4 linked regions of the Ovis aries genome follow. The protein of the gene in region 1 purifies or fractionates together with the protein of each later gene. This does not show direct contact. Links are inferred from orthologs where the notes say so. Each region holds a gene or a part of one and is shown on either strand. Other genes may lie near its edges.

Region 1 (8,309 bases):
GCTTAAAGCTCAACATTCAGAAAACGAAGATCATGGCAGCTGGTCCCATCACTTCATGGGAAATAGATGGGAAACAGTGGAAACAGTGTCAGACTTTATTTTGGGGGGCTCCAAAATCACTGCAGATGGTGATTGCAGCCATGACATTAAAAGACGCTTACTCCTTGGAAGGAAAGTTATGACCAACCTAGATAGCATATTGAAAAGCAGAGACATTACTTTGCCAACAAAGGTCCATCTAGTCAAGGTTATGGTTTTTCCAGTGGTCGTGTATGGATGTGAGAGTTGGACAGTGAAGAAAGCTGAGCGCTGAAGAATTGATGCTTTTGAACTGTGGTGTTGGAGAAGACTCCTGAGACTCCCTTGGACTGCAAGGAGATCCAACCAATCCATTCTAAAGGAGATCAGTCTTGGGTATTCATTGGAAGGACTGATGCTGAAGCTGAAACTCCCAATACTTTGGCCACCTCATGCGAAGAGTTGACTCATTGGAAAAGACCCTGATGCTGGGAGGAACTGGGGGCAGGAGGAGAAGGGGACGACAGAGGATGAGATGGCTGGATGGCATCACCAACTCGATGGACATGAGTTTGGGTGAACTCTGGGAATTGGTGATGGACAGGGAGGCCTGGCGTGCTGCAATGCATGGGGTCGCAAAGAGTCGGACACGACTGAGCGACTGAACTGAACTGAACTGCACTGGAGGCAGATTGGTGGTACTCACTGTGGTCCACAGACTGGTGCCACTTCGTGAAATATTACTTTCAGGTTCAGGATGAGTAGAGAATTTGAGAGTTAGGTATTTTTAAAACTGTTACAGCATTTGTCAGAGTACTTTTATAAATACTGTGCTATACTGTGCGTAGTCGATCAGTCGTATCCAACTCTTTGCGACCCCATGGACTGTAGCCTGCAGAGCTCTTCTGTCTATGGGGGATTCTGCAGGCAAGAATACTGAAGTGGATTGCCATTATAAATACTAGTTACAACCAAAAAATATGTCTTCTTGTAATTTTTATATTTTTTATACTTTTTCAAGGAATTTATTTTTAATGTAAGTTGTAAAAGCATCAATTTGTGATAGATTGCAAATAATTAAAAATGGTTCTTCCCTACTGATCATTTGCGAAGCACTGGGGTAAATAATGGAGATTCTGTTCACTAACTTGAACAGGCAGCTGATGGTTGCCTAGCTGCCAGAGCAGATAGGTTTTGTTTTGCTTCGTGTTTTATGAATAACACAAATCTCAATTTTGTGGTGGCCCATCAACTATTTCTGAAAGGCCAGATGTCTTCTGATGTAATGTGCAGGGGGAATTTAAAGACTCCAATGGACAGAGAAACTGTATGGGGATCCATCAGGGATATCCCACCCATGCACAAGGTCCCTGACAGGCTCTAGAAAAGTCTTTCACTAGGTTATGAGGGATAAAGTATACTGCAAGTGATAGGATTTTTCTAAAGCTCTTTACTAGCTAGTTACTCTATATGTGGCACTAAAAAACTCTAAGGCACTGAAATTGAAATGGGATCTCTGATTCTGGGAAGTGGTGTTGGGCTGACCCTGAGTGAAAACAGCATCACATTTCCAGAAGCAAAATGCTTTTTTCACTGGTGGCCATATTCATCAAATCTCTAGAGACACATCATGCACAGATTTACAACTTTAAAAAAATCATGGGCTCCCAACAATAAACCTGTAAACAACTGTGGCACCCTGCAGTTTCTACCGCTGCAGGTAGCTGTGGCTACCTGAGGCTACCACTGTGGCCCCTAGCTGCTCTAACTGTAGCGGCTGGAAGACAAAGTTACTTTGTCAGCTGCCTTTGCAGTAGTCATGTGATAGGGAAGGCCCACACAGCAGGAGACGGGAGTTGGACTCCCTGTCCCGGGGATCCCCTGCAGCAGGACATGGCAACCCACTCCAGTATTCTTTCCTGGGAAATCCCATGAACAGAGGAGCCTGTGGGCTATGGCCCATCGGGTCACCAAGAGTTGGGCCCCAACGTGTGGCTTCTGGGGATCTTAGTTTCCCCACCAGGGTTTAACCCTGGCCCACAGCAGTGAGAGCATCGAGTCCTAACCACTGGACCACCAAGGAATTCCTATATGAGGACTTTTAGAAGCCTTCTGCTTTTTCTGTTAAAAGAAACAGAGACAGTTGGCATTCACCTTGAAGTCGGAAGGGGAATGTTAAGAGAATCACAGAAGAGGTCAATGCAGACCTCTTACATTGTTCAGTTCCTGAGCCAGCTACCTACTTTCTGATTTATTGTTGTGGAAGAGAAAATAGATGTCTGTTGTGTGTGCCATTGGTAACTGAGTTTCCTGTTACTTGCAGCCAAAAGCGTTGTGAACTGATGTAGAAACTCATTTGGATTTATTTAATTTACATTGGGTTGAATCATGTGAAATTAGTGTTTTCTGTGGGTCAGATGATTGTCAGTATCGCATCATTCAACCCAAATAACTGTTAACTCTCTAGATCTGTAGATGCGTATCGGTTAGTATGCTTATGACAGCAAATACCAAAACTCGTAACTTAGTGAATTAGGGAAGGAGATGGATTGGCTCATGGAAGAAAACCTAGTTGCTTTTTTTTTCTCTCTCTCTCTTTTCGCTCAGTCATGTCCGACTCTTTGCGACCCCATGGACTGTAGCCTGCCAGGCTCCTCTGTCCATGGGATTTCCCAGAAAAGAATACTGGAGTGGGTTGCCGTGTCCTACTCCAGGGGATCGCCCCGACAGGGAGTCGAGCTCGCGTCTCCTGCTTTGGCAGGAGGTTTCTTCATCGCTGAGCTACCACAGAAGTCCAGTTCATACATATACACAAGAATAAATTCCAGGTTATATTGATGACTTAAATTTTAAAAACAAAACACCAGTAAGACTATTCGAGGCTTGAGGAAAACTTTTCCCAAGTTAAAACCCTGGTTGCCCCGGCTCTCATTCCGCCTTTTCCATTGGGCCTCTGGAGCTACGTCATGGGATAATTAGCCAATGAGAATTGGGCATGGGCGGCAGGCTCAGCCAATGGGACCCGGGCGGGAGATTTGAAAGGACCTCGGCGGGGGTGAGGAGGCGCGGCCGGACGGATTCAGTTGTTGCCAGCGGTCAAGGCACCACGGGTTTCTTTCGGGATTCTTGCTCCGGGAGAGGCCAGGTGATCCGGCAGGTTGGTTGCTCTAGGGTGGAGAAAGGGTCCTGGAAGGGAGTGAGGCCGGTAGCAGGGTGGGGGCGGAGAGGCGAGTGCGGGGATGCGCTCTGATGAAGCCAGCTTTTGGACTTGCTCCCTTTCACCAGCAACTCGCCCCCCCCCCCACCCCAGGCAAACACTTCCGGCTAGATCGATCCGACCCCTCACTCTCTCTCCTTTTTTTTTGTTTTTGCTTCTCACGGCTCTATTTCTCTTCTCTGCCCAGTTCCTTCCCCCTTTCCCTCTACGGATGGCCCAGAAGGAGAACGCCTACCCCTGGCCCTATGGCCGGCAGACGGTAAGGGCTTTCTCACTTCCCCTCTCCCCATCAGCATGGCGACTTCCTGCTTGCAGATTCGAGATCCTGCAGAGGGCGATCCTCTTAGCACTTTTCTTCTGGCTTTGCACCAGCGCATGGGCCCCAGTCAGGTCATTTGTAGCCTCATCCTATCTGGTGCTGCCAGTTTGAATTTGACCAGCCTGTGAGGACCTCTGCAGAGCTGAGCCTACTTGTCACATACAAATGGCGTCTGGGACTGAGCAGGCAGGGTCTAGCCTATTAGGCCATGAATCTCAACTGTTGTCCTGAAAAAATAGGCTAGGCAGGAAATAGATATAAGCTATTTAGATGAGTTTATAACTTTAAAAGGTCCAAGAGAAGTCTTACTTAAGAATTTGGATTTTAATGACCGGTGTGACATATGCGTCTAAAAAGCTTTATTTTCCAGTTGTCCTAACACCTTTCATTGAAGAATCTACCCTCTGATTTGAAATGCTAGCGTTATTGTATATATTAAATTCCCATATATATGTGGATCTATTTCTGGACTCCATTTTGTTCAACTTGCTTATTTGTAAATCCTAAATTCGCTGTTTGTGAACAAGTCTGTAGGAGCACTGAGGCTCTCTCTTGGTTAAAGAAGAAAGAAGGGGCCCTACATGAGCTTTGTTCTCTGTTAGTGGGGCTTGAGTATCCTGGAGGGTCCCTCTATCCCCTTGTCCACCAGCTCCCTCCCCGGTGAAGCTCTGAATGGGGAGGCTGAATGAGATGACACTGTCATGTCTACACCAGTCACTCCCAGAAGAAAGTGGTGTGTTACTCAGAAGTTGACAGTGACAGTGCTCCAGGACAATTAGAATAGCCTTCACTTTCCCTAAAGCCTGTTGTTGCAAAGCGGTAAATACTGAGATTTGCTGAACACTCAAGGCCCCAAGGATCTTATCTGAGCCTTAACAGACCAAGCTTAGGGAACTGTGAGAATACCTCTGTTCTGAAGCTCCTTGAATTGTGGGTGTTCATTACCCCAGCCTCTACTGCCCTTTGGGGTAGGGGGCTAGGTAAATGAGTGGTGTTATGGACAAGACTGAGTAGCAAAATTGTGGCCTCATTGTTCCTCTTTGAACTGGGGATGGGGTGGGGTAGGTGGGTGGCTTTATAGCAAGCCCTGAAATGCTGCTTGTAGCGCATTCCAACCCGGTCACTGGGATAAAGGCACCCTCAGAGCTCCCCTCTGGTCCTTCTCAGGCTCAGCCTGGCCTGAACACCCTGCCCCAGAGAGTTCTCCGGAAGGAGGCTGTCATCCCATCGGCGCTTGTCCTCATGAGTCGCTCCAATGCCCAGCCCACAGGTAAACTAGCACAAAGGGAGGGGACTGACCTGAGGGAACTAGGGTCTGCAGAGGGTGGGTGGGGATGAAAATGTCAAAGGATGGCCTCAACTTCCCTGTTCTTTCCTTAGCTGCCCCTGGCCAGAAGGTGGTGGAGAACAGCAGTGGGACCCTCAACATCCCAAAGTAAGCTCCCCAAGCTTTGAGGTAGCAAGGGACGGGGTGGAATAAAGGCAGGAGGAGGAGGGATGCAGGTGAGAAAGCCTGATCCATCCTCAGCTCCCCTGGAAGAGAAGCAGGATTGCAGGCAGGAGGGGCAGAGGTCCAGAAAGAAGGCAAACACCTCAGAGGACCAACTAACCACTGCTCAGCTGCTCCACCACTGCTTCCCAAACAGGCGTTCCTTCACAATCGATGACTTTGAGATTGGGCGTCCTCTGGGCAAAGGCAAGTTTGGAAATGTGTACTTGGCTCGGGAGAAGAAAAGCCATTTCATCGTGGCACTCAAAGTCCTCTTCAAGTCTCAGATCGAGAAGGAGGGTGTGGAGCACCAGCTGCGTAGAGAGATCGAAATCCAAGCCCATCTCCAGTACGCTCAACGTCCCCTGAGCCAGAGCCCCTGCCGCCCCAACCCCACTCCTCCTCCAACCCCACCACATCTAGACTGTCTTCTCTGTAGCTGTGGCCACGCAGCCCCAATGAGCTCTCAATCCCAGCCAGAGCCTTGAATCCAGAAAATCACCTCCGGTCCCCAATTAGGACTGCCAACTGGCTTCCCCTACCTGGCCCAGACCTGACCCAGTTTGCCCCAATGCGACCTGTCATCTTTCCCATTTCCTTAGGCCAGAATGCAGCCTGATGCCTCCTCTGTCTCCTCTCCCAGACATCCCAACATCTTGCGTCTCTACAACTATTTCTATGACCGGCGAAGGATCTACTTGATTCTGGAGTATGCCCCCCAGGGGGAGCTCTACAAGGAGCTGCAGAAGAGCCGAACTTTTGATGAGCAGCGAACAGCCACGGTCGGGGCGGGTGGGCACCTGGGGCACTGGCAGGGGCCTGGAGGCTGGGGGATGCCATTTGCCGCCTGAGGTCAGTCCTCTTCTGACTGTCTGCCATTGGCCCCCCAGATCATGGAGGAGCTGGCAGATGCTCTGACGTACTGCCATGCAAAGAAGGTGATTCACAGAGACATCAAGCCAGAGAATCTGCTCTTGGGGCTCCGGGGTGAGCTGAAGATTGCTGACTTTGGCTGGTCGGTGCATGCCCCCTCCCTGAGGTATGGTGGGCCAGAAGGCCAGCCCTGGGTATGAAGCCATTCAAAATAAAACCACTTCAGATCTTGTTACCCAGAGACATTTTGGGTTGTTCTCATGTAAATATATAGACACAGCAATATCTTTACAAAAATAGGAGACTTTGGGAGTTCCCTGCTGGTCCAGTGGTTAGGACTCCAGCTTTCACTGCAGGGGGCCCAGGTTCAATCCCTGGTCGAGGGAACTAAGATCCTGCAAACCGTGCAGCGTGGCCAAAAACAAAAATAGGAGTCTCAGTTTTGTCACTCAGATTTCTCACTTGAAACAATGGGACCTTCTTGCCATATCACTGAGAATACTCCCACATCATTTTTAGTGGCTTCATAGTATTGCACAGTAGAAATGTAATGTGATTAAGCAACATGTGATTGATGAACATCTGAAATTCTTCCTATAATTCTAAGGTGAACGTTGCCCTCATATCTGATTTATTTTAAGGTACGGCCCTCAGTGTGGAAATGCAGAGTCAGTGTGCTAGCCCCACTCCTACCCCAAAGACCCCATCAGAGCCTGGTTGGAAGACCCCTGGCACATCCTGTGGTCGGTCTGGGCTCCCTGTCAGGCTGCAGGGAAAGGAGGGAAAGTCTGGATCTGAGATCCCTGCCCACTCCCCCTCTTCCCCCGCCCCACCCCAGGAGGAAGACAATGTGCGGCACTCTGGACTACCTGCCCCCAGAGATGATTGAGGGGCGCACGCACAATGAGAAGGTGGACCTGTGGTGCATCGGCGTGCTTTGCTACGAGCTGCTGGTGGGAAACCCGCCCTTCGAGAGTGCTTCCCACAATGAGACGTACCGGCGCATTGTCAAGGTGGGAGGCTGGCCCCCGGGGTCTGGCTGGAGTTTGTGCCAGCTCAGGGGCTGGGGCAGGGAGTGGGCACACTGTTGCTGTTGATGTTAAACCCTGCTAATAGAGTGGGAAGTGGAGGCAAAAGCAGCTAGGATGAAGCCTGTCTCTCCTTCTTGCAGGTGGACCTAAAGTTCCCTCCTTCTGTGCCCATGGGAGCCCAGGACCTCATCTCCAAGCTGCTCAAGCATAACCCCTCAGAACGCCTGCCGCTGGCCCAGGTCTCTGCCCACCCTTGGGTCCGAGCCCACTCTCGCAGGGTGCTGCCTCCCTCTGCCCCTCAGTCTGTCCCCTGAAATGTCCCTGTCCTTTTCTCAGTTGTGTCTGTGTCTGTATATGTGTAGCCAGGAGGAGGGGGGTCCCAAGTCTGTTTCTGCATCTGTCTTCTACCTCCTCTTTATTTAATAAAGGCTGAAGCTTTTTGTACTGATGAGTGTAGATGTTTACATGTGGAGACTGCTGTGAAGGAAGTCATCACCCATGGGGAGGAGGCGAGGGAGTTGCCCATGCTGGGCAGTGGGGTGGGCACTGCATCATCACCCCTGGGAACACCCCTCAGCACTGAGAGCAACCTCTCAGCTCTAACCTCATCTGGTCAGCTCCCAACCATCCTACTTCCACATCTTTCCTTTCCCCTGCTCTGGCTCCCAGGCCTGGGGATGCTGGGGACCTGGCTCTACTCTGCTATGCCTGCACATCAGCCATCACCAACCATCTCCACCCACCTTCTATTACTCCCTCTTAGTTGACCTCTAATCTTTCCCTTTCCTGGGTCAGTCTTGCTGACCTAGGAGCAATTAAAGTTGTCTTCTTGTTTTGTTTTTCTGCTCTGGTGAGGATTTAGCACAGGAGTAAATAGAAGCTGATGGTGTCTTGTTCCTGACCTATGGGAAACTTGTTCCCATAGTTTCACTGCTATGTATGATGCTTGCAATATGGTGCCTCCTATAGGTTTTGTTCTTTTGTTTTGGCCACCCAGAGCAGCATGCACGATCTTGAGTTTCCCTGACCAGGGACAAACCCATTCCCCTTGCAGTGGAAGCTTGGAGTCCTAACCACTGGACTGTCAGGGAAATCTCTTGCTATAAGTTCTTGATACATGTCTTTTATTAGGTTAAGGAAGGCCTGGGCTCTTCCTAGTTCATTAAGGGTTGGGTGTTTTTTGAAGCATGAATAGGTGTTGAGTTTCACCTAGTGCTTTTTCTGCATGTTTATTTTTTGTACTCTTAAGCCATGTGGTGTAGAACATCAATAAAGTTTCTTATTTTTATTTCATCTCAGATACTCGGGCTATATTCAATTCCTAGGGCTACTGTAACAAATTACCACAAACCTGGGTGGTTT
Region 2 (7,787 bases), on another chromosome or scaffold:
TAGAGGTTAACTAGAGAGGTGTTTCCCGTCCCTGGAAATGGTTAAGAAGCAAACTTAAGTCACAAACAGTTGTTCCTAGGGTGACACTTGCTCAGGTGTCTGCACTGCCCTTCTTCCCACCTCCCCCGCCCCACTGCAATGCTCTTTCTTAGGGTTCCAGGTGCTCTTGTCTTGTAGAGATCCAGCAGGAGGCAAAAAGTCCTTTCTTTCTTGTTTTTTGTGACTCATAATGCCTTAACAGCAAGTTACTGCAGTTTAAGTCTCAAAAGTTTTCTTTAGGGTAGCGTGTAAATTTTAACACGGTTCCCTCCAGCCTCTGTAAGCATCTTGACTTAACGTCAGAGTGTCCTTTTGGCTCTTTGTTGCTTTGGGCAGTGTTGAGAAACCCCCTTCCTTTTCCCTAGCATCTCAGTGTTTGATTCTGTACTCAGCAGCGTTGGGGGTCTGTGCTGTCCTTGTGCCGGTATGCCATAGTCTGATGGATATGTTGTGTGGCAGTCGCCTCAAGGGCAGAGCCTGGACTCCCCAGTACTTCTTGGAGCTCCGGTTGGTTTTCATGCTCGTGCTTGAGGCAGCTGCCCTAGCAGGAGAGATGTGTGCTTTCATTATCTCAGTTCAGTAGCCAGAAATTTATATTGAAACAGGTTGTGCTTATTTCAGGTAGATCCAAGGCAGCTTAATTGAAGAGCTACAGTTATGAGTAATATATCTTTAGGAAGATCAGCTGGTTTCTTTGAAGCAGTCTGCCATTTTTAAAGTTAGATGACCTGAGGCTACAGAATGACTTACTGGACAGAATGAAAGTCCCTATAGTTGAGATAAACGATATGTGCTTGCATTGTTTTTCTGCTGATGAATAGAGAAAAAGATGAAAAGAATAATGTTCAAGGCAGATCATTGTTCCAAATGAAACAGTTTATTGTTGAAAAGCTCTTAGTGGTCAGGGGGAGAAGGGGAAGCTACTTTGGAGGGAAGTGATAGTGTCTGCTTATGAAGTGATCCTTAGGAATTGAGAAAATAATGCTAAGAAAGTTTCTGCAAGGAAAATAAATGAGTATAAATGTTTTGTGAAATTTAGATTCAGGTAAGATTTCGCTCGTAAACAGCTGTAGGGATTAGGGCCTCCAGAATCCACTGTGAATAGAATTTCATAAGACTAAACCCAGAAGGAACTTTGAAACCATCATTTCAGTTCTCTTGCTTTATAGATGAAGGAATCGGGTCACTCACGGAGCAGCGGTGCGGCTGGGCCATTCAGCTGGCGCCCAGTCCTTTTCTCACGGTGACACTTAAGGAATTAATCCTGTGGGCCTATGCTCTGTATTTTATTTTTTAATATATGCTGTTTAGTGTGATTGAGGGTTTCCTGTTGAAGTCTTCCAAGGAGGAGGCCATGTCTTTGGAAGAGGCCTTGGGTGCCTCCCTTTCACATGTAAGAGGAAGAGGCTCTGCTCTTCTCCCCTGGGTCCATGTAAAGCTGAGCAGTAAGTGTTCTTAGTTTTCAAATGACAGCTTAGAACCAAAGGAAGTCGCTGATGCAGTTCTTCGCATATTTAATTCCATGAAATCTGAGTGAGTGTCAAAGTGCTTGTCTATTGGAAAGGACTCCCTGTTGGCCCGGGAGAAGGCCCTGTCGGAGCAGTAGTTGCAGCGGGCAGCTTTCGTTAGGAACTGACTGGATTTAATGTGCATTCGTTCACTTTTCCTTTTGCCAGAATTTCTTCTGTCCAAGGACGGAAACGTGGTGCTTCATGCAGATGACGCTGCAGAGCCCTTCTGTCACTTCTCCCTTTGGTATCGGCTCTTCTCTGTGATGGGCTCCTCTTAATCCATTTGTGAGGGTGTCGCTGGGGAGGAGGGCTGACACACAGAAGAGGAATTTGTAAAGAGACGGTACTTGGATTTTTGTCTTAAAAGTGCAGATTAACTGTTCAAGATTATACTTAGTATGTTTTATTAAAAAACAGACAACCACAAAAGACGCTGTAAAGAGGATTTCTGCTCCTTTGTTTTCCGCCAAGGGCTTGAGGGCCGTCTGCTTATTACTGACAAGTTTTGAATGAACTTAGTTGCTCAGTTTTAGCACCGATTTATGGTTACTTGGGATTTTCATTCCAGGCATAGTTGTTACAGCTCCAGTCATCAGACGCAGCTTGTTTTGCTGATGGTGTGCAACCCGTCACCGTGTGGAAAAGGAGACATTTTACAGGCTGGGATAAAAGGTGTTTTAGGCACATAGAATTCAGATAGTTGTTATTTTGCAGCTTACCTGACTCTGTGCTTTATAACGCTTTTCAGTTAAAATGGAGAAGCAGGCTTTTAACTTTGGTTTTCCTTTCCAAATATAAAATTGACCTGTGTGAAAAGTACGATATGTGATCTTAAGAGAGGAGGCGGCTCTTTCCGGACTTAGTGATAATTTGTCGGAAAATGTGGAGGCACTGTGTACCTGGTGCCCCGTGTTGGGTTCTGCTTGGTCCCTGCCAGCTTGCTGAGGGCATTGTGGAGGCAGTGGGCATTCCACATGGGTATGTAGCTCGGTGACATAACTGAATTTCACAGAAGGGCAGTGACTTGTCTGAAGTCACTTGGCCGGCCCCAGCACGGCCAGCCTTGGCATCCAGGCCGGTGTTGTTGCTCCCAGGATAGCAGTCCTCTCAGGGGTGGGCGAGGGGTGGGTGTATCCCTCAGGACTTACAAGATGCAAAACTGTTTTCCCATTTTTTTCATCTTTCTCAATTTTCCTGATTGTAGCCAGGACTATGAATAAATGGATTTTATGCTAACTTTTTTTTCCTCTTTTTCTTTTTCAGTTCAAATTAAGGAAAGCCTCCCTCCTGCTTCTTTCTGCAAGCAGCATCTCATTGTGCAAGAGCTCAGTCATGCAGCCGCCGCCCCAGGCCGTCCCTTCGGGCGTGGTCCGGCCGCCTCCGTCGGGGAGTCCTCAGACCATGTTCTGGTCTAACAGCCCTTATAGGAGACAGGCCGGCAGTCACACTCCGATGGCCCCGATAACCTGCCCACTGCAGCCAGTGACAGATCCTTTTGCTTTCAGTCGACAGGCTCTCCAGAGTACATCGCTGGGCGGTTCGTCTAAAAGCAGCCCGCCCATTTTGCAAGGCCCACCCTCGCCATCATCCCTGCAGCGTGCTGGTCTGCCCGTGCCTCACACAAACACTGGGGACAGCTCCCAAGGGCCCTGCGAACCTCTGCCAGGGCCTCCGGTGCAGCCCAGGGCAGATGCCAGCCCATTTCCCGGGGCGCCGATGCCCTCGGCCTCACATGGGCCCGAGACAAACAGGAGTGCCAAGGCTCCCGGCCCAGAGCCTGAGCTCCCGAACCCGCCGTACCCTCCACAGTACATTCCAGCAGTGGGGTCCAGTGGCTCTCGCGGGGGCCTTCCGCAGGGGCACGTGCCTCGGCCTGACAGACCCCTGAGCCGGCCGAGCCCCCCCGACAGTGCCGCACCCCCAGCAGCACTCCCGCTCCCCCCTCAGCCCTGCCAGCAAGTGCCTGGGCAGTGGGGGCCAGGGCAGGGAGGCCCACGGCCCCCGGGTCAGCAGTACTGGCCTGGCCCAGAGGGACCCCCGCAGATCCCAGGGCCCCACGCCTCCAGCGTCACCCACTTTCCCCCTCTGTCCAGCCTGCATCAGCATCCTGGCCATGAGCAGCTCGGCCCCCCGGCATCCTTACCAGGACCCTCAGCCAGTGACGGAAGAAACGAGGCCGTCTGCCTGCCCAGTGGAGACCACTCAGCAAATAGCTTTGATCCAGAGAGCGCGTTCAGGCAGAATTCCAGAGTTGGAAATGCTCGGGCAAACCAGGAGCTCAGGTCGAGTCCTGGAGTGAACAGAGAGCAGCTGTCGGGCCTGGCTGCCGTTAGCCCGCTCGCTCAGGGAAACGGCCTGGAAAGCCACTCGCACTGCTCGCCGGGGGCCGGGGGTGCCTGGACCCCACTGGAGGCGGGCTCGGGCGCACTCGCCATGTTTTTCAAAGGAGGAGAGACAGAGAATGAAGAGAACCTCTCGTTGGAAACAGCGGGCTCTGCCGGGCAGGCCGACGTGGACGGTTTCTGCCTCGGCCAGCTTCCCACACGTGTGGGCGCAGGAGGCGCTCACCAGGCCTTTCCCAGAGGCTCCAGCGGCGAGCCCACGCAGCTGGGGGGGGAGCCACAGCCTTACTTCCCTCAGTCTGCAGGTAGCCCTCACGAGAAAGCAGCCTCTAAGGTGGCCACCGTGGATGTGTGGGCAGACACGGCCCGTGCAGGGGCTCAGTACGAGAATGTTGAGAACCTGGAGTTCGTTCAGAACCAGGAAGTTCTGCCGAGCGAGCCCCTCAGCATGGATCCTTCCTCCCCAGGCGATCTGCTCAGGTGCGGGCCCCTTCCTGGCCCAGCTGGCCCCAGGCTCGGTGCGGTGGGCCCTGTGGGAGGCGGGGGCCTGAATCTCGAGGCCCTGGATATGACAGCGCGCCCTGCACGGTCTGACAGCGTGTCGTCCGGTTACAGCGGCAAGAGCCACCGGGGCCTTCCAGGTGCCAGGCTCCGCGACTCGGGTACCTTCATTCAACAGGAAGTGGGAAAACCTGAGGATGAGTCTCCAGGGAGGTTTTTTAAGCAGATCGATTCTTCTCCTGTCGGCGGCGAGACAGACGAGACCAGCAGCCAGAACTACCTTGGCAGCCTGTCCCAGCCCTCGACCCCAAGCCCCCCAAAACCTACGGGGGTGTTTCAGACGAGTGCAAACAGTTCTTTTGAACCCGTGAAATCGCACTTGGTTGGAGTAAAGCCCGTTGAGGCAGATCGCGCCAATGTGGTGGGGGAGGTGAGGGGGCCCAGTGCCCGCCAGCAGCACAGGGCCGCCGCTGCCACGCCTGATGCCGCCCCTGGCAACCTGGAGCAGCCCCCCGACAACATGGAGACCCTCTTCCCGCCACAGCGCTGTGTGCCACCTCTCGCCACCCCCCTGGAGGCCGGACGTGGGCTTCTGCAGGCCACGGGGCCGCCCTTGGAAACGGTGCTGCCAACACCTGAGAAGAGGCCCTCGACCAGGGTGCAGGGGCCTGTGAAGTGTGAGAGCCCCGCAACGACCCTGTGGGCACAGAACGAGCTCCCCGATTTTGGGGGCAATGTCCTTCTGGCCCCAGCGGCTCCCGCGCTTCACGTGCCAGTGAAACCTCAGCCGTCTGAGGTGATCCAGCCCCCAGACGCGGGGGCGGCACGGCAGGTGGGCTCTGGCGGTCAGAGTGGGGATGGCCTTGGCGCTTCTGAGAACCTGGAGAACCCTCCGCAGCTTGGCGAAGAGGAGGCCCTCCCGCCGCAGGCTGGCCCCAGCTATGCCAGCCTGTTGTCCTCCCCACCCGCTGAGTCTTTGCAGAATCAGCCCATCTTGATCGCCCAGCCCGATCAAAGCTATAGGCTGGCTCAGCCTGTCAACGTTTCTCAGTCCTTACCAAATCCTGACGAGAAGGCTCCATCCTGGAGAGACTCTTCGGCGGGAGATAAGCCCATAGTCAGCGGCCGGGCTGCCGGGGGTGATCCTGGAGAGAATGTACCTTTGTCTGGGATGCCAGCTAGCTCTCTCATCTGCTCGCCTCTGCCTAACCATCTGGCTCAGAGTCCTTTTCCACAAGTTTCTGGTACCTATGACATGGTTTCTAATCAAGCTGCTAATTTGCTGGTTCAACCGCACTCTCATCCAAATACCTTGCTTCCAGAAGGTCAGAAGGTCCACAACGCAGAGAGTGTGCCTCCTGAGGAGGTGCCCAGTCCTGCGGGGTGTGCAGGCCTGGTGTTAGTGCCGCCTGCAAGTAGCACCTCCCTGCCTGACAACAGCAAGCCAGGCCTCTGTGGCAGGCGGGACGGAGCTTCGGGAGCCCTGGACTTCATGTTTGGTAGGACTTTGGAAAATCCTGCAGGAGTGTACAGCCTGGCCCACGTGGATGGCCCAGCCTCTGTTCAGCAGCCCGCTGCCAGTCGTCGGCCGCCTGGGCCTGGGGCGAACACCTCGGACCGTTTCTATCAGCAGGTGATGAAAGAGGCTCATGACCAGCCTGGTGCAGAGAGAGCCCAGCAGGAGCTGGCACTGCCACTGCCTGCTCCACAAGGGCCCAGAGCAGTGCTTCCGGAGCCATCAAACCCGGGGAGTCCCCCGGTGCAGGCACAGCCTGCAGACCCGGCCCGGCCCGCAAGCCCAGCTCCTGCTGACGCGGGTCAGCAGCTGCTGCCCCGGCCGCCTCGGTCCTCCAGCGCCTCTGTTGTGTCCACCAGCTCGGGCCAGGCGGCCCCACGGCCCGACCAGCAGTGGCTGCAGCCCCCGCCTCCCGACCTGGCGTCCTACTTCTACTACAGGCCCCTGTATGACGGCTACCAGCCCCCGTACCCATACTCCGCATACCTGCCGGACCCTGGCCCAGCCCCCCACTATTACCAGGTAGGGCCACGCTCTTGCGCGGCTGAGCGCTCTGACCAGAGACCTCTTTCTCGTGTCCTGCCCCGGGGCAGGGTTCTGCGGTCAGTCCTGAGGGGACCCATGGTCCCCCTGCTGGCACACGCCTCTTCATGAGCTTCCTGAGAAGGGTGTTCCCCATCGCAGCTCCTTCTGCGGACCACAGCCCTTCTCCTGGAGGGCCGTGCTGCACACGGGCGTGTTTTAGTTGGGGAGAAGCGCTGCTTCATTTTGGTGTAGCACAGCATGCTCCAGCTTACGTGAGAAACGGCCCTCACTTCCTGTCCCGCCCACTGGCTTGCCACAGAGCCTGAGTTCTGGGTGGCACATTTTGGGAAACTGGAATAGCTTCTTGAAGTTTCTTTCGGGTTTTAACATCAAAAACTTACATGAGAAGCAACAGGAAAACTTTAGTCTTTTAAAGCCCTCCTTTAGGGTAAAATTGTTTAGGGTAAGAAATTCGGTTTGGGATGTAGCGTGGGTGAAACAGTTGAGAGCAGTGGCGCTGTGCACACTTCAGGACCTGGCCGTGGCAGAGGGGGCCGCTGTGCTGCGCAGGGGATCCTTTCTCACCTCTCTTCACGGTGAGCCAGGCCCACGAGTGCTGTTAAGTTTCCGTTTAATCCTGCTTTAGGGTGATCCACGTGGACACACCTTTGGTGGTCTGCTTGTTACCATCTCATGTCCTGGCCCAGCATTGCCACAGTCTGCAGAGGCAGGATTGTGGACCTGGAGTTTGGAGTCCCTTGCCTGACGTGGGTGTGGACCCCACACTGGAGGCCCCACAGTCAGAAGCAGCTGAGGGAGCAGAGCTGTGGTGGGCTGGGGGCCACCTGGGGGTGGGGCAGCCTGAGGGCATTCAAGAATCTCTGTATGCATGGGAATGAGTTACACGCCTAACCCCGAGACCTGGGAATCTGAGAGCCAGGAGGAGCCCCAGAGACTTATTTCCATGGAAGGACCACCCTCTGCAGGAGCCCCGGGTGGGCCTGCAGAGTGTGGAGGGGCCCGAGTCCCAGCCAGCTCCTGGCACTGCTGTGTGTGTGTCGGGGGGGGGCGGCCAGGCCCCAGCGGGGGTCAAGGGTAAGTCCACGCTGCGTGCTGTCTCATTCTCTAGCAGCTCTTGACAGAGAATCAGGCCCTGAGACAGGAAGGACAGGTCTGGCTCGTGCCCGGGTCGCCTGTCTCTGCGTCAGGTTCCAGCATGGCCGTAGGGCCACAGGGCTGCTGCATCTGGAAGGGGCTGAAAGCCTCCTGAGGCTAGAGCGTAGTCCTCTTTTTGGGGTTGTCTGTGCCTGCGGGACCCAATCCCAGGGGACCCAGATTCTTTTGCTTGCTTGA
Region 3 (7,470 bases), on another chromosome or scaffold:
GCTTGAGCTTCAGTCACGTGTGCAGAGAGGTCACGATGGAGCCCTTTCTTTATCGGTTCTTTGTCTTGATAGCCCACCTGGATGGGCATTCCGCCAATCTCGAGTTAGCTGTCCCTACTACGGGAGGCAGCAGTACCACATTATCTCCTTGGAGTTACCTAATGGGAGGACAGTTTTAAATGATTGCCCTTTAATGTGAAACTAATTACTTTGAAGGTGGAACGATAGTAATTTGCGTATTTAAATATATGGGAATTTACCTCGCTTTCGAGATACCTGGGTTGGAGTGCCTAACTAGATTGTGCTGATCTATGATTCACTTAACAGGAGTTTGGGTTCACAATAACTTGCAAGAAACATTAGCGCAATTTGTTCAGTGTGTTAGGTGCGCCCCTCCCCCCGTTGTTTCTAAGGGTGCTGCCTGAAATTGATAGAGGGAAGGATTTTCCAGTCTTTGTACCCAGCTCAAAACAGTTTGAATAGAGTCTCCTTAAGTGTATTGTGGCTGAGGGTGAACTTGAGGAGTCTTAAATTCTTGCTTTTTATTTTAGATGCCTGAGGAAGTGCACCATGGAGAGGAGGAGGTGGAGACATTTGCCTTCCAGGCAGAAATTGCCCAACTCATGTCTCTTATTATCAACACCTTCTATTCCAACAAGGAAATTTTTCTTCGGGAGTTGATCAGTAATGCTTCTGATGTGAGTGCCCTGAATGTCTTCATTGACGTTGGTTTTTTGTTTCTCAAGTACTCCAAGAGAGGGAAAGTGGGGGTGGTTTGGCATTTTGTGGTGTTAACTGATAAAGGGGGGATATAAACTTAACTGCTGTTCCAAAAAGTATTGCCTTGCTCTCTGTGGATAGATGGGATACTGTAACCCACTGGATGTCGTTCTCAACCTACAAGCTAAAGGAGTAATCAGAATTAGCGTATTTGGGGAGTTTAAAAAACTTTTTGGGTGAGATGGGTTTTGAGGAAGCAGAATTGTAAAACTGCAATTTTGTACTTTCAGGCCTTGGACAAGATTCGCTATGAAAGCCTGACAGACCCTTCTAAATTGGACAGTGGTAAAGAGCTGAAAATTGACATCATCCCGAATCCCCAGGAGCGTACTCTGACTCTGGTAGACACGGGCATTGGCATGACCAAAGCTGATCTTGTAAATAATTTGGGAACCATTGCCAAGTCTGGCACTAAAGCATTTATGGAGGCTCTTCAGGTACGTGGTTGGTTAGGCACACTCCATTTATATTATTGGTGTTTGCTTTGCCATTTCTTTGAAACTTGAGTTTGACTTTTAAACTTTTTGGCAGGCTGGTGCAGACATCTCCATGATTGGGCAGTTTGGTGTGGGCTTCTACTCTGCCTACCTAGTGGCAGAGAAAGTGGTGGTGATCACAAAGCATAATGATGATGAACAGTATGCTTGGGAGTCTTCTGCCGGGGGTTCCTTCACTGTCCGGGCTGACCATGGTAAGTTGGCTTTCCTGTTAAGGTGTCTGGATTAGCATTCTGGGGAAACACTAATGAAGATCTTGAGTATTGTATGTGTAAAGCAGTTATAGTTCTGCGTTTGTTTATTTAGTTTCTTATATTCTGTTCTGATTAATTTTTTTCTAGGTGAGCCTATTGGCCGTGGTACCAAAGTGATTCTCCACCTGAAGGAAGACCAGACAGAATACTTGGAAGAGAGGCGGGTCAAAGAAGTGGTGAAGAAGCACTCTCAGTTCATAGGCTATCCCATCACACTTTATGTGAGTATGGACTGGTAACTCAAGTGCAGGTAACTGCTGCTTGAGAGAATTGCATGGACTTTGGGGTTTTTTTTTTGCTTTTTTGTACTCTGAAACTGTCATCTTTGATACTTCTAGCTGGAGAAAGAACGTGAGAAGGAAATCAGTGATGATGAGGCTGAAGAAGAGAAAGGTGAGAAAGAAGAGGAAGATAAAGATGATGAAGAGAAGCCTAAGATTGAAGATGTGGGCTCAGACGAGGAGGATGATAGTGGCAAGGATAAGAAAAAGAAGACAAAGAAGATAAAGGAGAAGTACATTGATCAGGAAGAACTGAACAAAACCAAGCCCATTTGGACCAGGAACCCTGATGACATCACCCAGGAGGAATATGGAGAGTTCTACAAGAGTCTTACCAATGACTGGGAAGATCACTTGGCAGTGAAGGTAAGAAGTCTTGCTTGTTGGCTCAGTAGGAGGAGCTGATATGGACAAATGGAACTTACCCAACTGGTTGGTAGCTGGGAACTGTGAATGCTATGAGTTGATTTGCTAATGGACCCTTCCAGGGTGGAGAAGTGACATCTTCCCCTGTGACCTGTCTCTGGTGGCTTTACCCACCTGGAGTCTTTGACCCAAAGATGATATAGTGCTTGCAGTTGGATTCATTTAGGGCATTAGGGCTTAAATTTTCTCTACAGGGATAGGAAGTTTTTGTTTCAAATAATTGGACATTTTGGTATTGGGACCAAAAGCCACTCTTGAGTACACAGTCAGCTTATCTTGGATTTCTTTCAGCACTTCTCTGTAGAAGGTCAGCTGGAATTCAGAGCACTGCTGTTCATCCCCCGTCGGGCTCCTTTTGACCTCTTCGAGAACAAAAAGAAAAAGAACAATATCAAACTGTATGTCCGCCGTGTGTTCATCATGGACAGCTGTGATGAGTTGATTCCGGAATATCTCAGTGAGTATCTTTTTGCCCTAATGTAGTTCGTTTCTGCGTTCTCGGGGGCTGGAGTCTTTATCTTAGATTAAGGATCCTCTGCAACCTAACAAGTGAAAGTTTGGTGAGAAAATCAGTCTTTCTGTTGAATCCAGATGACTTTATATACCTTTTATCTTTATCCCCGCCACTCCTGTATCTTTAAAACCCAGCTTCCATATTTTGATTTCAGACTTCATCCGTGGGGTGGTTGACTCTGAAGACCTTCCCCTGAACATCTCCCGAGAAATGCTCCAGCAGAGCAAAATCTTGAAGGTTATTCGTAAGAACATTGTTAAGAAGTGCCTTGAGCTCTTCTCTGAGCTAGCAGAAGACAAGGAGAACTATAAGAAATTCTATGAGGCATTCTCTAAAAACCTGAAGGTAAGCAGCAAGTACTTGCTTAATAATTAGAATGGATTTTTTTTCATTCACTGAGAGGATAAGTTATTTCCTAACAAAATTATTTTTTTCCCCTACCCATAAAGCTTGGAATCCATGAGGACTCCACTAACCGGCGACGCCTTTCTGAGCTGCTGCGCTATCACACGTCCCAGTCTGGAGATGAGATGACTTCTCTCTCAGAATATGTGTCTCGCATGAAGGAGACCCAGAAGTCCATCTATTACATCACTGGTACGTTGGAACCTAGGTCTGATAAAAGCCTTTTTTTAGAGGTGTGGGGCAGACACTCAAGGGTCCTGGGGAACTGGCAGGATGAGGCATTTTGGCCCTTGAGTCACACTGAGTAATCCTACAGGTGAGAGCAAAGAGCAGGTTGCCAACTCTGCATTTGTGGAGCGCGTGCGGAAGCGGGGCTTTGAGGTGGTGTACATGACGGAGCCCATCGACGAGTACTGTGTACAGCAGCTCAAGGAGTTTGATGGGAAGAGTCTGGTCTCTGTGACCAAGGAGGGCCTGGAGCTGCCTGAGGATGAGGAGGAGAAGAAGAAGATGGAGGAGAGCAAGGCAAAGTTTGAGAACCTCTGCAAACTCATGAAGGAGATCTTGGATAAGAAGGTGGAGAAGGTAAGCCGTTGTGAAGCAAAGTTATCTTGTTAGCGATGCCTTCAGAGTGGTTTCCTCCCATCTTTGGCTGCTACAGTTAGTGGTTTAGGCAGCTTAATTTGCTTAGTGCCACCCTACTTCTTGTTCTCTTAAGGTTGGTATTTCTATAGAACTTACCAAAGATGACACTTTTCCCCAAAGAGTAGAGATGAGCATCTTTGCCTTGAGGAGGTAATTCGATTCAGTACAATGAGCTTTTCTGCCTACCCTCAGGTGACGATCTCCAACAGGCTCGTGTCCTCACCCTGCTGCATTGTGACCAGCACCTACGGCTGGACCGCCAACATGGAGCGCATCATGAAAGCCCAGGCACTGCGGGACAACTCGACCATGGGCTACATGATGGCCAAAAAGCACCTGGAGATCAACCCTGACCACCCCATCGTGGAGACCCTGCGGCAGAAGGCAGAGGCGGACAAGAACGACAAGGCCGTCAAGGACCTGGTGGTGCTACTGTTCGAAACTGCACTGCTCTCCTCTGGCTTCTCGCTTGAGGATCCCCAGACCCACTCCAACCGTATCTACCGCATGATAAAGCTTGGCTTGGGTGAGTACCTTTGTCCTCTCAAGTAGCAAGGTGTGTCAGGCGCTTTTGAAGGCTTTTGGGGGCCTACCTGATGTGGTTTCTTTCCTCTTAGGCATTGATGAAGATGAGGTGACGGCAGAGGAGCCCAGTGCTGCTGTTCCTGATGAGATTCCCCCCCTTGAGGGTGACGAGGACGCCTCTCGCATGGAAGAAGTAGATTAGGAGTTTATACCTGCAGACTGCTCCCTCTGTATAGCGTCCCCATGGCTCCTGCAGCAGCAGCCGCCCTTGTGGCCCTGGCCCATGTGGTTCCCTCTGCTGACGTCTAGTGGTTTTATTTCTGTCCTTCTAAGGCAGGATACATGGGCCTCACGCCCGATTCCTCTCCACGTTTGACATGGGGTTTGAATGTTGTGTGTTGTGTTTTGTTTATTTTGTTCTGAAATTAAAGTATTGAAAATAAAGAAGATGCAGGTTTTTTACACAGTTCTGCTCTCGTAGATTTAAGTATATACAGTGCTGCCTTTGGAGTTATCCTGTATGTATCCCTTTACAAATCTTAGCCTGCCATCATTCTGAGTAGATAACATGGTACATAAAGTGAAAGTCAGTTCAGCCATGTCTGCTCAGTTTTGTCTTGAGTCTTAAGACACCTGTGGACTATACAGTCCATGGAATTCTCAAGGCCAGAATATTGGAGTGGGTAGCCATCCCCTTCTCCAGGGATCTTCCCAACCCAATCCAGGTCTCCTGCATTGCATGCAGATTCTTTTTATCAGCTGAGCCACCAGGGAAGCCCAATTGTGATACATAGGAAGATATTAAAACCATCACGGGTAAGTTTAGAAGCCATAGAAACAAAATGAGAGAGAGTCAAAGAGGGAGAAAATAATTGCACATGAGGCAACAGACGTAAGCTGAATTTCCAAAATAGCTCGTTCAACTCAATCCAATCAAAAAACAGGCAAAGAACTAAATAGACATTTCTCTTAAAACATAGGTGGCCAGTAGATAAAAGAGGTTCAAGATGCTAATTTGAGAAATGAAAAAATGACGTACTACCACACATGGGTCCAAATGGCCATCATTGTAAAGCTGCAGTACCATGCTGGAGAGGGTGCAGAGAAAAGGGAACCTTCCCATGCTGTGGGTGGGGCTGGAGTCTTGCTCCAAAGCTGGTGCAGCCACAGTAGAGAACGAGGTTCCTCAAAACTAAAAAAGGCAATCCCGCTCCTGGACATAACATCAGAGAAAACAAAACCTACACCCCTGTGTTCACAGCAGCACTACTGACAGTCGAGAGTGGACACGTGGTCACTGATAAGGAAGATGGACACATACACAGTGAGATGCTCAGCCATTAAAGAAGTGATGCCTTTTGCAGCCACATGGATGCCACTGGAGGTTATACTAACAGGGAAGACATACCACTTGATAACCACCTATGTGGGATGTCTGTGGAAAATATGAATCTGAATCAAATCATGGGACAACAGACTGGTGGTTGAGAGGGTGATGGAGTGGGGCATTAGGGTCAGCTGGCCCAAGTTTTCCTCTGTAGAAAAAAGCCCTACAGAGAACTATATTCAGTATCCCATTGTAAACCATAATGGAAAAAAATACCGTAAAACAACTGCTGCTGCACAGCAGAAATTAACATTGTGAATTAGCTACAATTTCTCAAAAATAACACTGAAGGTAAGTGGTATTGTGATAAAGAACCCACCTGCCAATGTAGCAGATGGTAAGAAACGTGAATCCAATCCCCGGGTCGGGAAGATCCCCTGTAGAAGGGAATGGCCACCCACTCCAGTATTGTTGCTTGGAGAATTACATGGACAGAGGAACCTGGCAGGCTAACGGTCCATAGGGTCACAAAGAACACAACTGAAGCAACTTAGCACATAACACTTTCAGAATTCCCTTTCCTAAGCTTAGCATATACAGACGATTTTCCACTCAAAATTTGAGTTTACTATGGTAGAACAAAAGCATACATTGAGTACTTTTCGAGTTTTGACCTTTTCCTGGGCTGACAGTAGGAGGTACCTTCACTGGTGTTGCTGGGCACTGAGCTGCAGTTTCCAGTCAGCCACCAGGCCACAAACAAGGACCAAGAAATGGCACATGTTAGAAACCACTTTTTTTTTCCACTTTCAGTATTTAAACAAGTTAAACATTTGACACTTGTAAAACAAATTGTAGGCAGTTCTGAGCTAATGGAAGTTTTAGGTATCTGAAGTTGAATGTTTGTACTTAGTCAACCAGAACACAGGACCAAACCCACTGCAGCAATTTAATTTAATAAAATAAAATCATAAGAGCAAAAGTTGTATTTCCAAAGTACCAAAACCTGCAACTGGTTCATAGGGCAGAGCCTAGGGATCCAGGAGCAGGGGGGCTGGTGGTGCTGGGCAGGATTCCCAAGCCCTCGCCCAGCACAGCACCATCGTTCACTTTCTCTCCTGGGAAAGCAGCATCGGGAGCCTACAACACGTGTGCTTCTCTCACCAGAGTAAGAAATGCATGTCTCGGAGTCTGAAAGGGTAGTAGTCAAGGTAGGGGACAAGCACAGGTGAGGCACTAGCAGAGCCTCCAGGGCAAGACTTCGGAGAACCGGAGAAGCAGGGGCTTCGGAAGGCGCCCCCACCTTCTCAGTCCCCCACTGTTCTCTCCACCCTGGGGAGAATCCTGCCCACTGGAGGCTGGGTGACTTAAGGCAACGGGGAAGGCCGCCTCCTGGGCTCCCTGCCCCCTGCCGCAGCGCTGGTCAAGAAACCTGCATTTTGCCCTGGAGCCAGCTGCCTCTGAGGAGTGACAGGAGAGAAACTGGTACAGCAAGCGGGTCCTAGTCATTCCTCGGGCCCTCAAACTTTCTGCACAGATGACTCGACTGGCACAGCCTTCTTTCCCCGCTGCTTTAGACGGCCCCGGGCGTAGACCCGGAGCAGGAGGGCAGCAAAGACCACAGCCACTCCCAGGCCCCCCACCACAGTGACAGTGTGGCCGTAGAGGAGGCAGGAAAGGAGGATGGCGAAGGCCTGGCGGAGGGTCATGATGATGGTGAAGATGGCAGCCCCAAACTGCCCGATGGTGTAGAAGATGAAGAGCTGGCCACACGCAGAGCAGATGGACAGCAGCAGGGTGTGTGCCGCAAACTCGC
Region 4 (7,787 bases), on another chromosome or scaffold:
ATTTAGAAAATATACTTTTTTTAATAAAAAAAAGTGTGTTATTAAACCAGGAGTTATGGGAGCTGGGATTTATCCCAGCCTTGTCACTGAGTTTGTGATCTTGGGTAAGACCCTTAAATCATGACATTCTCTTAAACCATTCAGTTACTACACAAATTTTTTCTGTGTGATGCCTGTCTTTATATGCCTCATTCTGTTCTTTGTGGTAGTGGGAGGATCATATAAGATTTTACATATGTATATATGAGCACCCTAAGGTGTATAAAAGGTTATATAAATGACAGTATTGCTGTTAAATTGACTGATTTGGCTATAATTTTATACAATAATCTTTTTATACAAGATTAATTTGTGAACTGTAAAGTACTAAACAAATATTTAGTACAAACATCTCACTGTATCTAAAATCAGTTTGGTGCCTGGGTGATGCAAGAGTTTGGTTAAGGAGAAATACTTGTACTGCTGATACTTGGCTTTCACATGATCAGACCAGTAGATCTAGAAGAAGGGACTTTAGCAATCTAGTCAGTACCTTCCGGTAACACTTCGGTGTCATGTTGTTTTCTAACTGACCTACTAATAATAGGCAGTTCCACAACTCAAAGGAGCTTATTATCTTATTAAACTAAAACAAGAATATCAAGTGTTGGGGTTTTTAACTTTCATTGCTTTGAACTAATTTTTATTATATGACATTGTAAACTTTAATATCTGCTCTGTTCCTCTTCTCAGGCAGAGGAGATATTGAACAGAATGAATCTGAGAACCGTAGAATAATTCGCTATCCAGATAGTCATCAACTCTTTGTTGGTAACTTGCCACATGATATTGATGAAAATGAACTAAAAGAGTTCTTCATGAGTAAGTGGTTTAGTTTGCTTTATGGTAAAATTAAGCAGGAGGTGAAGAGAATTTTTTTTCTAATCATAAGACTTATTCTTCTTGACGTTTATTTCAGAGAAAGCATTCTGTTGTTAATAATCAGGATTTTCACATAATATTATATTGCAGATAATTGACGGTAATGCCAGATATTTCTGACAACTATTTTGATTTGCTGTAGTTTCTAGAGTTAAAAAAAAATTTTTTTTCTAGACTTTTCTTCCCCTTTGTTAGTTACCGATTATTTTTTTAAACTTTTTAGCTTGTATTGGGGTGTAGCCAATTAACAGTGTTATAGTTTCAGGTGAACAATGAAGGAACTCAGCCATACATATACATGTATCCATTCTCTCTCAAGCTCCTTTCCCATCCAGGCTGCCACATGACATTGAGCAGAGTTGCATGTAGCTCTACAGTAGGTCCTTACTGGTTATCCATTTTAAATATAGCAGTGTGTACATGTTGATCCCAAGCTCCCTTAACTATCCCTTCCCTTTTATGTGTGCGCCCCGCCCCGCCCCCCCCGCCTCCTGAAACGATAAGTTCGTTCTCTGTGAGTCTTTTCTGTTTCATAAGTAAGTTCATTTGTGTTGTTTCTTTTTAGATTCCATGTATCATGTCATATGATATTTCTCCTTCTCAGTCTGACTTACCTCACTCTGTATGGCAATCTCTAGGTCCACCCATATTCCTGCAGATGGAATTATTTCATTCTTTTTAATGGCTTAGTAGTATTCTATTGTATATGTGTTCTACACTGAGGAGAGTTCTTTTTTCATAATACGATTTTTAAAAAAACATTTACGTCTGTACATAGTGTGTATCTCTAGGTACCGGTCACCTTTAATTGATCAGGAGTATAAGGTTATATCAGATGTTTCCCAGTGAGTGTACTTCGTGTTGATTGACCTGGTTCTGTAGAGGTTAGAAGAAAGAGCTGGGTGAATCAGTCTTAAATTTGGAAATGGGATTCATCCGGCAAATACAAATCTAATATAGAAAATAAAATTGTCTCTCTAAAATGTGTAGGTAACTTTTCCTTTTGAATGGACTGACAAAGATGCAGGGCAACAGAATAGGCTAGTTGTTGGCATGTTAAATGAATAACCTGTAAGAGTGAAAGTACCTTAATGCACTGGCTATAGCAGCTTGCAAGTTGTGTTTTGAAATGGATCAGGAAGAATGAGGTATTTTATTCTGAACAGTTAAAGTTACAAAATATTCTGTTAAAGTATTTTATTTTATCCTTTGTGTAATGTATATTTTCACAGGTTTTGGAAATGTTGTGGAACTTCGCATCAATACCAAGGGTGTTGGCGGAAAGCTTCCAAATTTTGGTTTTGTGGTTTTTGATGACTCTGAACCAGTTCAGAGAATCTTAATTGCAAAAGTAAGTGACTTAAATGGCATAATTGAATACCTTATTATTCCTGTTGTATTTAATGTGAATAAGTCTTTTTTAAATGGTACAGTTAAAAATAGTTTACTATGAACTAGTATTTATGCAAAGAATAAAGATATGTTAGTAATTTTAAAATTTGAGGTATGGGTCATTTTAAAATAAATGTGTTTGATTATTTACTCTGGTAAAGAAGGTTGGATATCGAGAATAGATTGCATATTGAGAATTTCGAAAGTTTTTTTTATGTTTTTCACTATTTCTTACACCACTGTTACCGTCTAACCTGCCCATGTACATTTTTTTCTTCCTTTTTAAAGCCAATTATGTTTCGAGGGGAAGTACGTTTAAATGTGGAAGAGAAAAAGACAAGAGCTGCCAGAGAGCGAGAAACTCGAGGTGGTGGTGATGACCGCCGGGATATTAGGCGCAGTGATCGAGGTCCTGGTGGTCCCCGGGGAATAGTGGGCGGTGGAATGATGCGCGACCGGGACGGAAGAGGACCCCCTCCGAGAGGTGGCATGGCACAGAAACTTGGCTCTGGGAGAGGAGCCGGGCAGATGGAAGGCCGCTTCACAGGACAGCGTCGCTGAGGCTCCACTGTTGGCAGAGTCTTGGCAGTGGTACATTATTCATCGTGTTTGCATTCTTGTTAATTTTTTTTTTGGCTTTGGAATGTGACACAGCCTTTTTGATCATTTCTTTGATGTGAAAAGCATCTTTCGGTTATCAGTTAAATTGAGGTGGACATTATTTCCCCAATTTTACAACAGGATTCGCATTGTTAATTTATAAATCTAGACTTGGAGAATTAAGGACTGAGAAATGACCATATCTTAAACTGTCTACAACAAAGTGAACTTAAAAGGACATGCCCAACTGAATTCAGGTCCTTTGAGTCAAAAAAATCCTCTGCTGCACATTTTGTTTAAGTGTTACTGTTTCTGCCTATTATTGTTGGAAACACAAATAGTGCAATTTGTGCAATTGGAGAATCTTGCCTTTTTTTCTTGGCTCCCCCCAAAAATACAAACCAACAGAAACTTGTTATGCACTCATCAGAATGCACTAATGGGTACTCTGAACTCATTAACCTTGACATCTGCAACAGGAGGCAAGAGGGGAAAAAAATCTTTCATCTTTTTTTCCAGTAGAGCATAGTTTGTGAAATGATGAGGGCATTTTTACCTGCTTGCTGTGACCAGCGTGTGTACACATAAACCTTAACAAGACTACAAGTATATTCCAGAAGGAAGTCATTTAGTTATGAACGAAATAACAAAGATCAGAACTTCAAATGCTATGGTCTTGAATGTTAGACCAGATTTAGTAGCTCCATATCTAAGGTTTTTTTCTACCTGCCCCTCTTCAGTACAGGGATGGCTGGCTGCTCAACACACTCCTCCTCCCCCTTTTCCTTTCTTTAAGCTGTGTACAGTGAAAATTGTCTTTACTGTATTTTTGTTCTCTGGTAATGTAATACGCATGATGGTGCCTTCTATTAATACATCATTCCAGTCTTGCTGGTAATTTTGTACAGTATAGTGTATAAATTGCTGTGCTGCAAAGCCAAACAGCTGCAAAATGTTGAGAAATCATTGAAGTATATAAAAATTGCAGTATCTTTAAAATCAGTAAAATTGACTAGTATATTATTTACCTTGTTCTTCAGTTAACAACTTTGTGTTCTCTGTGGGAGGGAGTCTTGTGTGTTTGGGAGGCAGAGGGAAGGAGGAAGTCAGTTATTTGAGTCAAAGTCTCTTGTTGACTTTTCTCTTAGCCTGAAGGTGAACATTGAAGCGTATCACTTGAGAGGTGCTTGGAAAAGTCAGTCAACTTGATGTACATTGTTAGTGACCTTTTAAAAGCAGTCAGATTCCATAAATGGCACGTAAACCTAAAGTAAGGATACTGCAATTTTCAGAGAAAAAAGAACAGCAGCTCTTAAGTGTTTGCATTTTCTATTTGAGGGGGCAGGGAACTGTCATTCATTTTGCACAATTCTTGACCTGATGTCAGCACCCGAGTGGCTCTGAATTTAAGTCTGGGATGACATCTTTTATTTTTACATGAATCTCTAAACAATTCTGTGAGCAAAGTTTGTAGCTGCTGGATTATTGTCTGTCTTTATAGCAAGTTCCGGTAAACCACAAATATGACAAAGGATATCCGATTTTATGCTTGGAGTATTTGGTACCTACCAGTTTCTGATGTTTCAGGCCAGGAGTGGGGTAAATAAGTGTGACCACTTAAAGCTGCTTGTAGCATGGAAGACTTCTCCATTCTGTCTTAGTAAAAACAAACAAAAAATGCACTTGACATAATAGCAAACTGTTTCTTAATTATGAAACTGTTTGCTATTTAGTAAACTAGCAAATGATGCACATATTTTGTTTTCCATGTACTGGGCAATGTAAGTAAAATTAAGCCTGTCCCCTTTTTCCCCACCTTGAATGAGGTCTTCCATGTTCGAGGAAAAGTCTTGCACTATTGGATATATTTTGGGGACACAGATTTCTCAGTTTCCATTTTGGGGGGCTTAAGGATTTTTTTTCCTGTTTGAAATACATTTACGCTTTCTAATGTATAGTACTTGAAGTTCTTACAAGAAAATTACTTTTGAGTTTTGAAGCTTTTATTCAAACTGCTTTTAAATAAGTGGTTTCTTGTCAGTGTTTTTTTTTTTTTTATATATAGCATATTGTTCCTCTTTCATTTCTTTCTCCTCCTTCATTTGATATATATATATGTAAAATTTTCGATCCAAGATATTGCCCTACCGCCCATGAAAACTGTTCTGGCACCAAAAGTAATGATAAATGTTAAGTGTAATAGAAAATTAAAGCAAAGAGCCATTCAGCTTCAGTCTTTACATACCATGAATAAAACTTTAAAACATCACATGGAGAAGTTTACATGGTGATTGTTCACCTGCAGTACTGTGGACTTTTAACATTTTGTCCCCTTTTCAGTGAACCAGAGTAAAAATATTCATCTACCGTAACTGTTATTTGCTGGGTTTTTTTATTGTTGTTGTTGTTTGTTTTTATTTTTTGGATGGTAATATTCTATTCTATCCTTATGACACTATTGCAACCAAATTGGCTTTACCATCTTGGCTTTAGTAGGTATAGAAGACAATGGATTACCATCTTTATTGCTGTAATGTGTTAAGCATTATATGCTAGTAGTATCTAGTTTAATTGTTTCAGGTGGAAAGTATTCTTTGAGTTTCCATTTTGAATGTGTTTGGACTAAACAAACAATAAACTACTGATGTCTGCAGCATTTTATTTATGTCCCTAATTTAATCTTTAGGTTTGTGTTCCGAAATATTTTCTCCCAGTTGCATTTCACACAGCCTCAGGAAATAAGGAATTGTTCTAACATCAACTGATGATTATTTGTGAAATTTGATATGTAAAATTATTTAAGACTTGGAACATAATTACTTGAACTGAGATAGATGCCTGGTTCAGTTAGATAATTGGTAAACAAGATAGAGAATGTTAGACCAGAATAATAAGTAGTGAGGAAGGTGAGAAGCAGACTACTAAACGTTTATTTATTCGTTTTTAATAATCTTGGGTTTTCTAAAGGATTGCTACTTCATCTCAGAAGGAAAAAAGGATGGGAAGATCGAGGTGATCTGAAGTTATGGACATGACCAGTTCAGCAGTTGGAACAAACTTGTGAAGCTCTAAAAGAATATTAAAAGGGAAAAGAATCATTCACTCATAGTTAACAAATATATTCTAAAATCACAAGGCATATGTAATTTTAGAACTTGAGACTTTTACTTTGTTAATAGGGATAGTATAAGTGAATTTTTCCTGATATATTTATAACACTGTATGAAGATTCCATAAATCAATCTTTACTAGTTTGTACTGGAGAAAAGCTAGACTGTTATTCAAGTACTTTTAGGAAGTAAGACTTAAGATTTTTTAAGTGTCTATTAAGCTCACTTTCAATTTTAATTATAATGTATAATATTTAATTTTATGGCTGTGGAAAAACATTATTCAGAAGGGATAAAATGTATGTGCCATACTATATTGAAAAAAATTTGAAGAAGTAAAGTATCATTTGGTCCAGGAAATATGGAACAAAATATTTGAAAGTTGAACCACACATGATGCTTCATTTCAGTTGTGTTATATAATATAGTCTTTGTATCAAGTAAATGAAAATGTAATGAATAGCTAGCTGTTCATATCTTTTCTTCAGGATGACTTGCTCATCATGATTTATATTTCAACTTCAGGTGAAGACTTGATTTTTTTTTTTCCTTTCCAGTCTGTTTTCATAAGACTTTCTAATTATTGATCATTTTAATGCCAGAATTCTAAAATATCTTAAATGACTGGATAAATGAATTAACGTTTCATTATGTTCTGAAAGAGATTTCCCTTCATAAAAGATATGAGTAGGTTCATGGATCATAAAAAATGTGAGTAGTTTTGTTTAAAGCTATTTGCATAGTTAAGTCAAAATTCCTTCAGTTTTCAAGGTTTTTTGACAATTGAAGTCTTCCAATCTGTTTATGTAGTATGTAACCACACCTTATACTTAAGAATTAATAGGAAATGAAATTGGTTTTTAGCATTACCGAATACTGGGCAAAATACTATAAGTGAGAGTTTAGAATTAAACATTCACAGTAAGATTACTATTCTTTTCCTTGATCTCCTAAGAATTTTGATAAAGCTGGCTGCCTATTTGGCATGCTTTCAGTTTTATGACAACTCATCACCCCATAACCACCACCACCTGCCCCCTACGCACATACCGATCCTTTCTGTCCTCAGCCTCTTTCCCCACAAGTTTTCTCTGAATGGTTTCATTTAGGCTAGGAATTACCTTAGCTTCAGTGTATTGTCCATTCAGTAAATTTCATGTAGTGTGATGATAAGAGGTGGGGAGTGTGAGGATTCAGTGAGTTAATAGGCGAAGCTCTTGAAACAGTGTATGGGGTCTTCAGTAAGTGTTACCTGTTACTTTTTTTGTAACAGTTGAATTTCTACTGTCTTAAGGATAACTATGTTTCAAACATTTCTTTTTTTAATCCTATTTTGCCTTGTCCTCTTAAACTCCTGGTGGTGGTTTAGTTTTTAAGTCATGTCTGACTCTTGTGACCTATGGACTGTAGCCTGCCAGGCTCCTCTGTCCGTGGGATTCTCCAGGCAAGAATACTGGAGTGGGTTGGCGACTCCTTCTCCAGGGGATCTTCCCGACCAGGGCTCCTGCTTGTAGGAAGATTCTTTACCAGCTTCAAAGAGGCAAGCCCTTTGAAGTCCTAGGTAATTCAAAATTCAGAAGTCCAAAGCAATGTGTTTTCTAACTGCCATGCTTCTCTAAGTGATGTGCATACTTAATTCTGTGATAGTGAACATCTCTATTAACCTACAAATGTTTGAAGTCTCATCTGTTCTGCTTAATATTTTCTCTTTGTCTCCCTTCTGTCCATTTTTCAGGATGCAGGAAGATTTGTTCATGCTATTCT

Evidence for each region. Proteins that work in one complex are often made in the same cells at the same time.
Region 2: the proteins of AURKB (region 1) and SEC16A purify together in Homo sapiens (affinity purification with mass spectrometry; 3 studies listed by BioGRID and IntAct, with this or other methods). This does not show direct contact. The link is inferred for Ovis aries from reciprocal best matches to the Homo sapiens genes AURKB and SEC16A.
Region 3: the proteins of AURKB (region 1) and HSP90AB1 purify together in Homo sapiens (affinity purification with mass spectrometry; 6 studies listed by BioGRID and IntAct, counting the BioPlex papers as one, with this or other methods). This does not show direct contact. The link is inferred for Ovis aries from reciprocal best matches to the Homo sapiens genes AURKB and HSP90AB1.
Region 4: the proteins of AURKB (region 1) and G3BP2 purify together in Homo sapiens (affinity purification with mass spectrometry; 3 studies listed by BioGRID and IntAct, with this or other methods). This does not show direct contact. The link is inferred for Ovis aries from reciprocal best matches to the Homo sapiens genes AURKB and G3BP2.

Annotation. Positions count from the first base shown.
Region 1 is NC_056064.1:27,652,169-27,660,477, reverse strand, and holds AURKB (aurora kinase B), read left to right. Parts: upstream 1-3,083; 5' UTR 3,084-3,175; intron 3,176-3,422; 5' UTR 3,423-3,446; coding exon 3,447-3,494; exon of another isoform or gene 3,495-4,721; coding exon 4,722-4,824; exon of another isoform or gene 4,825-4,934; coding exon 4,935-4,989; exon of another isoform or gene 4,990-5,200; coding exon 5,201-5,392; exon of another isoform or gene 5,393-5,686; coding exon 5,687-5,825; coding exon of another isoform or gene 5,826-5,835; exon of another isoform or gene 5,836-5,933; coding exon 5,934-6,082; exon of another isoform or gene 6,083-6,754; coding exon 6,755-6,929; exon of another isoform or gene 6,930-7,087; coding exon 7,088-7,261; 3' UTR 7,262-7,395; downstream 7,396-8,309. UniProt on the Homo sapiens protein: Serine/threonine-protein kinase component of the chromosomal passenger complex (CPC), a complex that acts as a key regulator of mitosis.
Region 2 is NC_056056.1:3,025,567-3,033,353, forward strand, and holds part of SEC16A (protein transport protein Sec16A), read left to right. Parts: intron 1-2,813; 5' UTR 2,814-2,882; coding exon 2,883-6,431; intron 6,432-7,787. UniProt on the Homo sapiens protein: Acts as a molecular scaffold that plays a key role in the organization of the endoplasmic reticulum exit sites (ERES), also known as transitional endoplasmic reticulum (tER).
Region 3 is NC_056073.1:17,735,521-17,742,990, forward strand, and holds the end of HSP90AB1 (heat shock protein HSP 90-beta), read left to right. Parts: intron 1-551; coding exon 552-698; intron 699-1,010; coding exon 1,011-1,217; intron 1,218-1,311; coding exon 1,312-1,471; intron 1,472-1,618; coding exon 1,619-1,752; intron 1,753-1,869; coding exon 1,870-2,178; intron 2,179-2,529; coding exon 2,530-2,695; intron 2,696-2,906; coding exon 2,907-3,097; intron 3,098-3,201; coding exon 3,202-3,349; intron 3,350-3,473; coding exon 3,474-3,742; intron 3,743-3,994; coding exon 3,995-4,328; intron 4,329-4,419; coding exon 4,420-4,529; 3' UTR 4,530-4,793; downstream 4,794-7,470. Other genes in the region: SLC35B2 (adenosine 3'-phospho 5'-phosphosulfate transporter 1), read right to left, coding at 7,175-7,470. UniProt on the Homo sapiens protein: Molecular chaperone that promotes the maturation, structural maintenance and proper regulation of specific target proteins involved for instance in cell cycle control and signal transduction. Undergoes a functional cycle linked to its ATPase activity.
Region 4 is NC_056059.1:91,227,090-91,234,876, reverse strand, and holds the end of G3BP2 (ras GTPase-activating protein-binding protein 2), read left to right. Parts: intron 1-732; coding exon 733-861; intron 862-2,153; coding exon 2,154-2,272; intron 2,273-2,601; coding exon 2,602-2,874; 3' UTR 2,875-5,569; downstream 5,570-7,787.